Macaca mulatta: one gene and its partner. The protein of the gene in region 1 purifies or fractionates together with the protein of each later gene. This does not show direct contact. Links are inferred from orthologs where the notes say so. Each region holds a gene or a part of one and is shown in the gene's direction. Other genes may lie near its edges.

Evidence for each region.
Region 2: the proteins of DDX23 (region 1) and TSSC4 purify together in Homo sapiens (affinity purification with mass spectrometry; 3 studies listed by BioGRID and IntAct, with this or other methods). This does not show direct contact. The link is inferred for Macaca mulatta from reciprocal best matches to the Homo sapiens genes DDX23 and TSSC4.

Annotation. Positions count from the first base shown.
Region 1 is NC_133416.1:55,993,166-55,998,255, reverse strand, and holds part of DDX23 (probable ATP-dependent RNA helicase DDX23), read left to right. Parts: intron 1-122; coding exon 123-256; intron 257-388; coding exon 389-501; intron 502-743; coding exon 744-887; intron 888-986; coding exon 987-1,212; intron 1,213-1,514; coding exon 1,515-1,660; intron 1,661-3,313; coding exon 3,314-3,491; intron 3,492-4,301; coding exon 4,302-4,544; exon of another isoform or gene 4,545-4,591; intron 4,592-5,090. UniProt on the Homo sapiens protein: Involved in pre-mRNA splicing and its phosphorylated form (by SRPK2) is required for spliceosomal B complex formation.
Region 2 is NC_133419.1:2,306,725-2,312,525, forward strand, and holds TSSC4 (U5 small nuclear ribonucleoprotein TSSC4), read left to right. Parts: upstream 1-1,948; 5' UTR 1,949-1,996; intron 1,997-3,027; exon of another isoform or gene 3,028-3,168; intron 3,169-3,519; 5' UTR 3,520-3,676; intron 3,677-3,836; 5' UTR 3,837-3,859; coding exon 3,860-4,849; 3' UTR 4,850-5,112; downstream 5,113-5,801. UniProt on the Homo sapiens protein: Protein associated with the U5 snRNP, during its maturation and its post-splicing recycling and which is required for spliceosomal tri-snRNP complex assembly in the nucleus.

The DNA of each region.
Region 1 (5,090 bases):
CCCCATATCATAAGTCTAGCCCTTTTTTTCTTCATTTGATGTTCCTCATCTGGATTCCCTCCATTCCCTCTCCTCTTTTCTTCCATGAGCTCTTCTGCAGCTTTGCTTTCTTTGATCTGCAGAAGATCCTCAGGAACGGGAACGTCGGGAACGCAGGGAGAGGATGGAACGGGAGACCAATGGAAATGAGGATGAGGAAGGTCGGCAGAAGATCCGGGAAGAGAAGGATAAGAGCAAGGAACTGCATGCCATTAAGGTGCAGGCCTTGGATCCATCTTCACTTCTCTCCCACACACAAAAATGAGGTTTAGTTATTTGGCCATTGTGATCTCTGCATGTGAGAATTGGGCCTCAAGGCTCATGTGCTTTGTGTTCCCTCCCTGAGCAGGAACGTTACCTGGGTGGCATCAAAAAACGGCGCCGAACAAGACATCTCAATGACCGAAAATTTGTTTTTGAGTGGGATGCATCTGAGGACACATCCATTGACTACAACCCCCTGTGAGTGGCTTCAGGCCTGAATTCTAGGTCTTTTCCACTAGGCAGTCCTAGAGAGCTGATGACTACAGAGGTGGAGGAAGTCAGACAAGCCGGGATGGAAAATTGGTAGACTGGTAGTCAGCCAGCCCTCTGGTGGAAGAAAGACCCTGTCCAGGAGGAACTGTTTCATATTAGTAGTCTGCCCTTCCCTCCTACTGCCATAACAGCTGCTTCTTTTTTCTTTTCCTCTGTCTCAATCCCAGGTATAAAGAACGGCACCAGGTGCAGTTGTTAGGGCGAGGCTTCATTGCAGGCATTGACCTCAAGCAGCAGAAACGAGAGCAGTCACGTTTCTATGGAGACCTAATGGAGAAAAGGCGAACCCTGGAAGAAAAGGAGCAGGAGGAGTGAGTGATCAAGGCTAGGGTGGCTGGACAGAGCCCAGAGACTCTACAGAAAGGAGTTGGAGGGCACTGATTCTACTTACTCCTCACATCCTGCTCCAGGGCAAGACTCCGTAAACTTCGTAAGAAGGAAGCCAAGCAGCGCTGGGATGATCGTCATTGGTCTCAGAAAAAGTTAGATGAGATGACGGACAGGGACTGGCGGATCTTCCGTGAGGACTACAGCATCACCACCAAAGGTGGCAAGATCCCCAATCCCATCCGATCCTGGAAAGACTCTTCTCTGCCCCCACACATCTTGGAAGTCATTGATAAGTGTGGCTATAAGGTAAGGAGGGGTAGATTGGCCCAAAAGATCTGAAATGTTCCTGCACTAGTTTGGGAATAGAGAACTTTGTTCCTTGACTATTTGGAGCCATCCCTGCTATTGGGTACCAATGTGACCTTTTCTGTCACTTTCTGGTAGAAGCGTCAGCTTTTAGTGATTATGTTTCTTCTTGGGGTCCCCATTTCTGTGCACTGTACTTGGCATCCTTCCATTGCACTAGCAGATATGCTTACTACTATCAGTGGTAGCCCAGGTTGTATAATTCTGCCTGTACCTATTACTCTTTCTCGGGGTCACTGCAGGAACCAACACCTATCCAGCGTCAGGCAATTCCCATTGGGCTACAGAATCGTGACATCATTGGTGTGGCTGAGACTGGCAGCGGCAAGACAGCAGCCTTCCTCATCCCACTGCTGGTCTGGATCACCACACTTCCCAAAATTGACAGGTGGGGTCAGCTGGCACCAGCTGGAGTGGGTTTGTCTGGGTAGGAAAGGTGAAAGTGGCAAAAGAATGTGTGTTTTTTGTTTCACGTCTATAATCGGAAGCTTGCTTCTTTATTCTTGGTTCGATATTAGGGAATAATTGGATCATGATATCAAAGAATTATATGTTGCTGGCAAAGACCTGGAGAACTTTGCTATCCTGGAGTCTCTGATTTTTATTTTTTTATTTTATTATATTTATTTTTTTGAGACAGAGTCTCACTCTGTCACCCAGGCTGGAGTGCAGTGGCACGATCTCGGCTCACTGCAACTTCTGCCTCCCAGGTTCAGGTGATTTTCCTGCCTCATCCTCCTGAGTAGCTGGGAATTACAGGCATGTGCCACCACACCCAGCTAACTTTTGTTTTTTTGTTTTGTTTTGTTTTTTTGAGATGGAGTTTTGCTCTTGTTGCCCAGGCTGGAGTGCAGTGGCGCAGTCTCGGCTCACTGCAACCTCCTCCTCCCAGGTTCAAGTGATTCTCCTCCCTCAGCCTCCTGAGTAGCTGGAATTATAGGCACCCGTCACCACGCCCGGCTAATTTTTTTGTATTTTTAGTAGAGACGGGGTCTACATGTTGTTCAGGCTGGTCTCTTAACTCCTGACCTCAGGTGATCCGCCTGCCTCAGCCTCCCAAAGTGTTGGGATTACGGGCATGAGCCACTGCGCCCGTCCTTAATTTTTGTATTTTTAGTAGAGATGAGGTTTCACCATGTTGGCCAGGTTGGTCTCAAACTCCTGATTTCAAGTGATCTGCCTGCCTTGGCCTCCCAAAGTGCTGGGATTACAGGCGTGAACCACTGCACCTGGCCGAATCTCTGATTTTTATTTATTTATTTATTTATTATTTATTTATTTTTGTTTTTTTGAGATGGAGTCACGCTTTGTTGACCAGGCTGGAGTGCAGTGGTGTGATCTTGGCTTACTGCAACCGTTGCCTCCCAGGCGCAGATCCTCCCACCTCAGCCTCCCAAGTAGCTGGGATTACAGGTGTGTTCCAACATGCCCAGCTAATTTTTGTATTTTTTGTAGAAACAGAGTTTTACCATGTTGCCTAGGCTGGTCTCAAACTCCTGGGCTCAAGTGATTCACCCACCTCAGCCTCCCAAAGTGCTGGGATTATAGGCTTGTACCATTTTGCCTGGCCTCTGGACTTACTTTTTTTTTTTTTTTTTTTTTTTTTTTTTTGAGACAGAGTGTCTCTGTCAGGCTGGAGTACAGTGGCACGATCTCAGCTCACTGCAACCTCCATCTCCTGGGTTCAAGCAATTCTCCTGCCTCAGCCTCCCGAGTAGCTGGTATTACAGGCGCCGGCCACCACCCCTGGCTAATTTTTGTATTTTTATTAGAGGCAGAGTTTCACCATGTTGGCCAGGGTGGTCTCAAACTCCTGACCTCAGGTGATCCGCCTGCCTCAGCCTCCCACAGTTCTGGGATTACAGGTGTGAGCCATAGCGCCCAGCCCTGGCCTCTGATTTTTGAGTGAGATCATTTCATTCTTTTCTCATCATCCTCCCCATTCCCATCGCTTCCCCTAAGAGTGACTTTGTCTTGCTCTGGCTTGTGGTTGGATAAGAACCAAAGCTCACGAAGCTGTGGGATGCCCCATTTACCACAGAATCGAAGAGTCAGACCAAGGCCCTTATGCCATCATCCTGGCTCCCACCCGTGAGTTGGCTCAACAGATTGAGGAAGAGACCATCAAGTTTGGGAAGCCGCTAGGTATCCGCACTGTGGCTGTCATTGGTGGCATCTCCAGAGAAGACCAAGGCTTCAGGCTGCGCATGGGTTGTGAGGTTTGTTTTTCTATCTAGCAGCCAGCCTGCTGTCTGGGAAGGCTATCTTGGGGCTTTGTTTCTAGTTTCTGGAATAGATGTGCAGTAGAATGAAGAAAGGAGCTGGTTTATATGTATGTGCTATTTATTGAGAACTTATGCACCAAAGTTTATATTACAAATAGTATATATCATATATATTAGCTCATTAATTCTCACAATAATGTGTGAGAGTAGGTAGTGATATTTCCTTGTTATAGATCAGGCTGAGGTTCAGGTTAATAACTGCCTGAAGTCACAAACAGCTGGCAATGGGCAGAGCTGAGATTCTTATCCATAGCCTGTGCTTTTAGTTACTCTTTACTCTGCCAGACCAAATCTTTGACTTTGTGCATTGCGTTCATCTCAGGAAAGTGGAGGAGAGCTTTTTATGAGAAATCTGCTGTAGAAATTTAGAGTTTTTACTTTTTTTTTTTTTTAATTTAGTCTTTATACAACCCCCTTCATGGTATCCCTTAGTCTCTCCCATCTAAGAAAGTTGCTTCTTCAGGATCTGAAATGATTTGCCAAAAAAAAAAAAAGTTTCTACTGATTTTGCCTCCTCTGTCTAATCCCTGCATCTTACTCAGAGACCTCATTCGTTCCTGAGAAAATCCAGGCAACAAGTGATTTCATGCTGGTTTGCAGGAGCCTTTACTGCTAAACATAACCAGAGGTTGGGGTCCAAGTTCCTCAGCATTGGAGGTCTGTCACCCAAGTGGGTGGATAGTTCACAGGAAAGAAAAGAAGGGGCACCTGCTGGGCTGTAAGTGATTATACTGTACTACTCAGATTGTGATCGCTACCCCTGGGCGTTTGATTGATGTGCTGGAGAACCGCTACCTGGTGCTGAGCCGCTGTACTTATGTGGTTCTGGATGAGGCAGATAGGATGATTGACATGGGCTTTGAGCCAGATGTCCAGAAGATCCTGGAGCACATGCCTGTCAGCAACCAGAAGCCAGACACGGATGAGGCTGAGGACCCTGAGAAGATGCTGGCCAACTTTGAGTCGGGAAAACATAAGTACCGCCAAGTAAGGCTGCTTCCCTGGGCTGGGAAAAGTGGGACAGGCCAAGGCGGGTGGATCACTTGAGCTCAGGAGTTTGAGACAGCCTGGGCAACATGGCGAAACTCCATCTCTACAAAAATTACAAAAATTAGCTGGGCATGGTGGTGCGCACCTGTGGTCCCAGCCACTCCAGAGGCTGAGGTGGGAGGACCTCTTAAGCCTGGGAGGCCGAGGTTGCAGTGAGCTGAGGTCGTGTCACTATTCCACTCCAACCTGGGCAACAGAGTGAGGCCCTGTCTCAAAAAAAAAAAAAAAAAAAGAAAAGTTGTACAAGTTTGCCAACCTCCTATTGGGCCTTTCTTGCCTTAGGTGGGCTCAGAGTACATGTTTCTAGAATGAAGTGTGCCTAGTTACGGTCCTCTGACAGTCCTAAGGGTGGAGCCGTTTAGCTTAGCCCTGGAAAAACGATTCCAAAGACTTATGCTGCTACCGGGACCACAGGTGCTAGCAAATGCTCTCAGGCCTTCCTGTCATCATAAGATGGAAAGTACCTTGATGAACGGGTACTGG
Region 2 (5,801 bases), on another chromosome or scaffold:
GCACACAGTGTCAGTAGGTTGGCAGGAGGGGTCGGGCAGCCAGGGAATGCAGTATGAGATGGGCTTGGGGTCGGGGCTGGGTGCGCTGCAGGACTCCTCCTCCTCCTAAGGGATGGCAAAGGATGGACACACTGCTCCCTCCTGAGCATTTGAGGGTCTCTGTCCTGCCCATCTATTTCCTGTAAGTGTTCCTTTGAAGAGCTGGCGGCTCAGGCCTGAGCCATGTCTCAAAGGGGCTGGAGGGGAAGAAAGACCTCGTCCTACTAGGGAGCCCACCCAGCCCCTCAGCGGGCGGTGGTTGGGGGGTGGACAGGCTCTGGGGCTAAGCAGCCCCTGCGCTCCCCGTCCTTGCCAATGGGCTTGGTCTAGACTCTCCTATCTTCCCCTACATCGTGGGGTGGGGCTTGCTCTGGGTCAGGCTGCTTTTCCCTAGTTGTGGGGCGGGAGATGCTGGCACATTTAACTGACCCCTGGAGGAAATGAGTGCCTGGGAATTCATGTCTAGGGCTCCCAGCAGCCTCTTTGCGGGCCAATTTGGAAACTGTCCCCAGCCCTGCAATTTAGGGGGTTACAGAGTCTCTCAGCAGGCCCTCCTCCCCTGCTGCTCCCAACTTCCAAGCCTGCACTGGTTGGGGTAACAGGATGGTTCAAGGAGCCCCCTCTCTACTTTCCACTATGTTCCCTGTGGGGAGGGAAGAGCAGTTTAAGGAATAAGGTATCCCAAAGGTGCACAGCAGACCGGGGGCCGAGGAGGGGGTCCTGCTTCCCCTCCTTTTCTCTAGGCTGAGCCACAGCAGGTCCTTGAATCCTATTTCCCAGCGGATGCCAGGACAGCAGGCCCTGGGGGAGTTCTCTCTCGAGCCTTTCAGAGGGACCAGAGGTCTAGCAGCCACGGGGAACTCAGATTCCTTGACTGTGTGGGGCATGAACTCTCCCAGCTGAGAAGGAGCACAAGGTGCCAACAGGGCCAGTGGCCAAGGGAGACGCGGCTTGTCGAAGGGAGAACCTGGGCCCTCGTCTTCCCTTTCAGGGCGGGCATCTGACCTGCCCCCTGGACAGGCTCCCAAGCACGGCGGAGGCCAAACCTTCCCGGCTGCCGCCCACCCAGCCACGCTGACTTGGAAGCTTGAGCATTCAGCGGCCTCCATCCTGCCCGGAAGGACCAGGGACCTGGCCCCAGCTTCCCCGCAGAGCCCTCGGGGGACGTCTCAGTGCCTCCCGGAGCCCGGACCAGTGCACCAGAGCTGAGGGCCCAGAGGTGTCAGGGTGGCCGGGCAATTGTGTGAGGACGACGCCCCACAAGTTTGCGGCCAGGGCCCAGTAAACCCCTAGGGGTGGGAAAGCGTCGGCCCAACCAGCGGGTAAAGCCCCCTTCACCCGTGACCCAGCGGCCACGACCCCGCGTCTTCATCTCGGGCTGGGACCGCCTCTGCGTCTGGCCTGAGCGGGACCGTGGGATCCCGGGGAGCCCCGCCTCGCTGCATTGACGAAGCCCAGGAGGAGCGACAGTTACCGCTTCCGGTCATGACCGGAAGTGCTGGGAACGGCATTCGTTCTCCATACGAGATGATGCACTTCCTGCCTGGGGCGGCCGCTGTTCTCGCGGTTTCCGGCAGGTGGCGCTGGGACCACGGGAAGCCGGCCCGGTTGTCGGTTAGCCGTCGAGCATTCTGGGAATTGCAGGCCTGGCCCCTCCTCTTCCTGTTCTTCTTGGTCAATTCCGGTCTTGGTTCCCCAACAAATGCCGTCGTTTCCGGGGCCGCTTCCGAGCCGGACCCAAGGGCCGGGGCGTAGAGGGGCGGGCGCATGCGCACAGGGCTACACATCCCGACAGGCGTCGGGAGTGGAGGCCCAGTGCCTTGTGGGAGTTGTAGTTCTGCAGGTGCGGAAACCGCGGCGCTCCGCCGGCAGAGCACTCGGTTTCCCAGAGGGCTGAGCGCGCCGCGCGGACGTGCGGCGCCGACCAAGATGGAGATTGCCGTGCATCCTTGAGCCGGTAGGTTTGTGCTGATGGAGGACGGGCCACGGTGGCCGGCCGAGCCTCCGGAAGGTCACCGAGCGCAGCTTTAAATTGAGCTCGGAGGCCCCGCTGTGCTTGCCAACCCCCGTACCTTGCGACCGGGCCCTTGGCACCCACAGCATCCTCTTGAGGCCCGGACCCGGGCCTGTCCAGCCCGACTTCGCACCGAGAGCCAACTTGGCACTGAGAGTTCGTTCTTTCCCTGGCGGGGAGGTCTTGCTGGCACATAGAGTGGAGAAAGGCCCGGCTCTGCATTCATGTGGAGAAACAGACGGCTTCCTTCAGTCTCCAGACATGAAGGAGTCAACTCTGCCCTTCCACTCATTGCCGGATCTCGCCGAGAACCCCGAGAACGGACTCCTGGAGTCCCTGTCTTGCAGCCCGATCCCCGCTCCCCCTCGGAGTGCCCCGCTGACCAGGCTGCTTCTGGCCGCGGCGGCGTTCTGCTGCAGAGGACGGGAGTGCGAATCTGGGAAGCAGGGGTCTGGTTGGAACTCCAGCTTCGTCTGCAACATACTGTGTGACTTGGGCAAATTATGGCCCCCGCCCCATTCCTGCCAGTTTTAAAACGGTCATCAGTGTGGGGGGTACTGGGTATCGCCTTTCCCTGGGGTGGCTTCTTCACTGAGGAGAGTCAGGCCTCAGAGGAATTGAGGTCCTTCCTGTGTTTGACCTGGTGGAGGGCACTGACAGTCCCTAATAGTACCCCTGACCCCATCCTTGTTGGGTGCACAAGACACAGGTCACTCTGGGCGGGCAAGGAGTGTTGGTAGCAGGAGAGGAGTCAGTGGATGGATGGCCGAGGACAGTGAAGAAGGGTGTGGATGGGCCGTCTTTTTTGCTTGGAAACGCAAGCTCTGAGGCACCTAGTCACTCTACCGCTAAATGGGTACAGGAGGCAGCATTTGTCTGCCCAGCTGGAAAGGCAAGGTATGTGCTGAGTGTTACAGGAGGAAGGTCACTGGAGGTCGCTCCAGGAGCTGCGGGGATTTGCTTCTGCCTAGCAGGGCTGCTCAAGGTGATGGTCGACACCCCACTTTCCTGAGAGCTTGACCCTCAGATGCCAGGGCCTTGGCTGCAGATTCCTTGGGAGCTCCCGGGGATCTTCCAGCAAATAGGAGCAAACCTTTTCCCCATGGATCAGGAAGGTGCCGGCTCTTTGTGGAGTACCAACTGCTCACCCTGCACAGCAAGCAGCTTATAAGTGGCCTTCCTGCCTGATCTCGGCCCTGGGTTTAAGCCCTGGGTGGCTGCTTACTACTAAAATCGCTTAGTAGCTCCAAGCTTGCCTGCAGAGGGTTGGCACGATTAAATGAGGTAACGAGTCAAAAGTCCCTACCCTGAGTCCTAGCCTGTCAGGGGCTCTGAAAACCCAGACTTAGGTCGGTCCTGCCTGGCACCTTAAGGGGTGACAATGTGCTGGCACTGGACACAACCTGTTTCACACATGTGTGCTCTGGTCTGAGGTTGGTCCTCTCCCCCACCCCACCCACCTGCAGTTGAGCAGCTGAACAGCGGCAATGCTGGGGCACTCCCAGGCCTGAGACGACCACGCCTGTGCCACTGAGGACCTTCAGCAGGGCTCCATTCACCTGGCCCACTTGGCTGTCCAGTCACACTCCAGTGTCAACCACTGGCACCCAGCAGCCAAGAGAGGTGAGAGGAGGGCTTGGAGGGGGAGGCGGGACTCCACCCTGTGTGGGACGGTTCTGTCAGTTGATTCTCTACTTGTCCAGGGGCAGTGGATCTGCAGGGGGAACTCATTCTCAATACTTTTCCTCCTGAGAGACAAACTTCCTGGGCCGTTTTGGTTTAGGTGTGGCGTGGCCCTGGGGACCCATGGCTGATGCAGGGACAGGTGAGCCGTCCCCCAGCGTGGAGGGCGAGCACGGGACGGAGTATGACACGCTGCCTTCCGACACAGTCTCCCTCAGCGACTCGGACTCTGACCTCAGCTTGCCCGGTGGTGCTGAAGTGGAAGCACTGTCCCCGCTGGGGCTGCCTGGGGAGGAGGATTCAGGTCCTGATGAACCACCCTCACCCCCGTCAGGCCTCCTCCCGGCCACGGTGCAGCCATTCCATCTGAGAGGCATGAGCTCCACCTTCTCCCAGCGCAGCCGTGACATCTTTGACTGCCTGGAGGGAGCGGCCAGGAGGGCTCCATCCTCTGTGGCCCACACAAGCATGAGTGACAATGGAGGCTTCAAGCAGCCCCTAGCGCCCTCAGGCCGGTCTCCAGTGGAAGGCCTGGGCGGGGCCCGTCGGAGCCCCGCCTCCCCAAGGGTGCCTCCGGTCCCTGACTACGTGGCACACCCCGAGCGCTGGACCAAGTACAGCCTAGAAGATGTGACCGAGGTCAGCGAGCAGAGCAATCAGGCCGCCGCCCTGGCCTTCCTGGGCTCCCAGAGCCTGGCTGCCCCCACTGACTGTGTGTCCTCCTTCAACCAGGACCCCTCCAGCTGTGGGGCGGGGAGGGTCGTCTTCACCAAACCAGTCCGAGGCGTCGAGGCCAGACACGAGAGGAAGAGGGTCCTGGGGAAGGTGGGAGAGCCGGGCAGGGGTGGCCTTGGGAACCCTGCCACAGACAGGGGCGAGGGCCCTGTGGAGCTGGCCCATCTGGCCGGGCCCGGGAGCCCAGAGGCCGAGGAGTGGGGCAGCCCCCATGGGGGCCTGCAGGAGGTGGAGGCACTGTCAGGGCCTGTCCACAGTGGGTCTGTGCCAGGTCTCCCGCCGGTGGAGACTGTTGGCTTCCATGGCAGCAGGAAGCGGAGTCGAGACCACTTCCGGAACAAGGGCAGCAGCCCTGAGGACCCAGGTGCTGAGGTCTGAGAGGGAGATGGCCCAGCCTGACCACACTGGCCACTGCCATCCTGCTGCCTTCCTAGTGGGGCTGGTCAAGGGGCAGCCTGGCCACTGCCCAGCTGGAGTGGGAGGAAGCCTGCAGGCTGCCTGTAGGTGGCACTGGAGGCCCTGGCTGCAGCTCTGGGTGGCGTCCTCCCGAGCAGAGACCTGCTGAGGCTCCTGGGGTGTGGGGTGTGGGCTGGAAGCACTGGCTTCCTGGTGGGGACAATAAAGGTTTTGGGTCTTTCTCAGACTTTGTGTATATTTGGGCCCTGCTTACTCAAAGGGGTCTGTCGGCAGCAAGAGGTCCCCACACCTGACAGTGCTGGACCACTCGAGGGTGGCTGACACCTGCATCCCTTAACAGCAGATCACCCAGGTGACAGCAAGAGTTGGTAACCCCAGGCCGCCTCTAGGGCTTGTGGCTCAGTGGCAGGTGTCCAGCGAGTACCCTCAATGGGCCTGAGTGGGTCCAGAATCTGCCCTCCCCCAACCAAAGCCCACAGGATGCCATCAGCCCCAGGCCTAGTGCGGACCACAGCTTGGGAGGCGACAGGGAGATGACAAAATGGGTCTGGACAGAGAAGGCTGGGGTGTGAGTGGGCAGTTGCGGAGCTTGGGCAGGTGTTTGACTGAGCCAGGGGTCCAGTTTTATCTGGGTGTTTTCCAGGCTCCACTGGAGATAAAGCAGCCACTGGCACCAACAGGGGCTGTGTCCTAGCGCCATAAACACCAGCGTGTGCTGTACTGGCCATTGGGTGTTGTGGGGACAGCTGACAGACGCCGTGGGTGCCCAGCCTTGTCTTCCAGGAGCCAATCACCTGAGCCCCAAAGGACCTTTTGGGTCTTAAGTGGCAGAAATTCTAACCAGTAGTGTTTCAAAAAAAGATGAGTCTCTTGTCAGGCAACACAAGTCAGGGCAGGGGTGGGTGCAGACCCC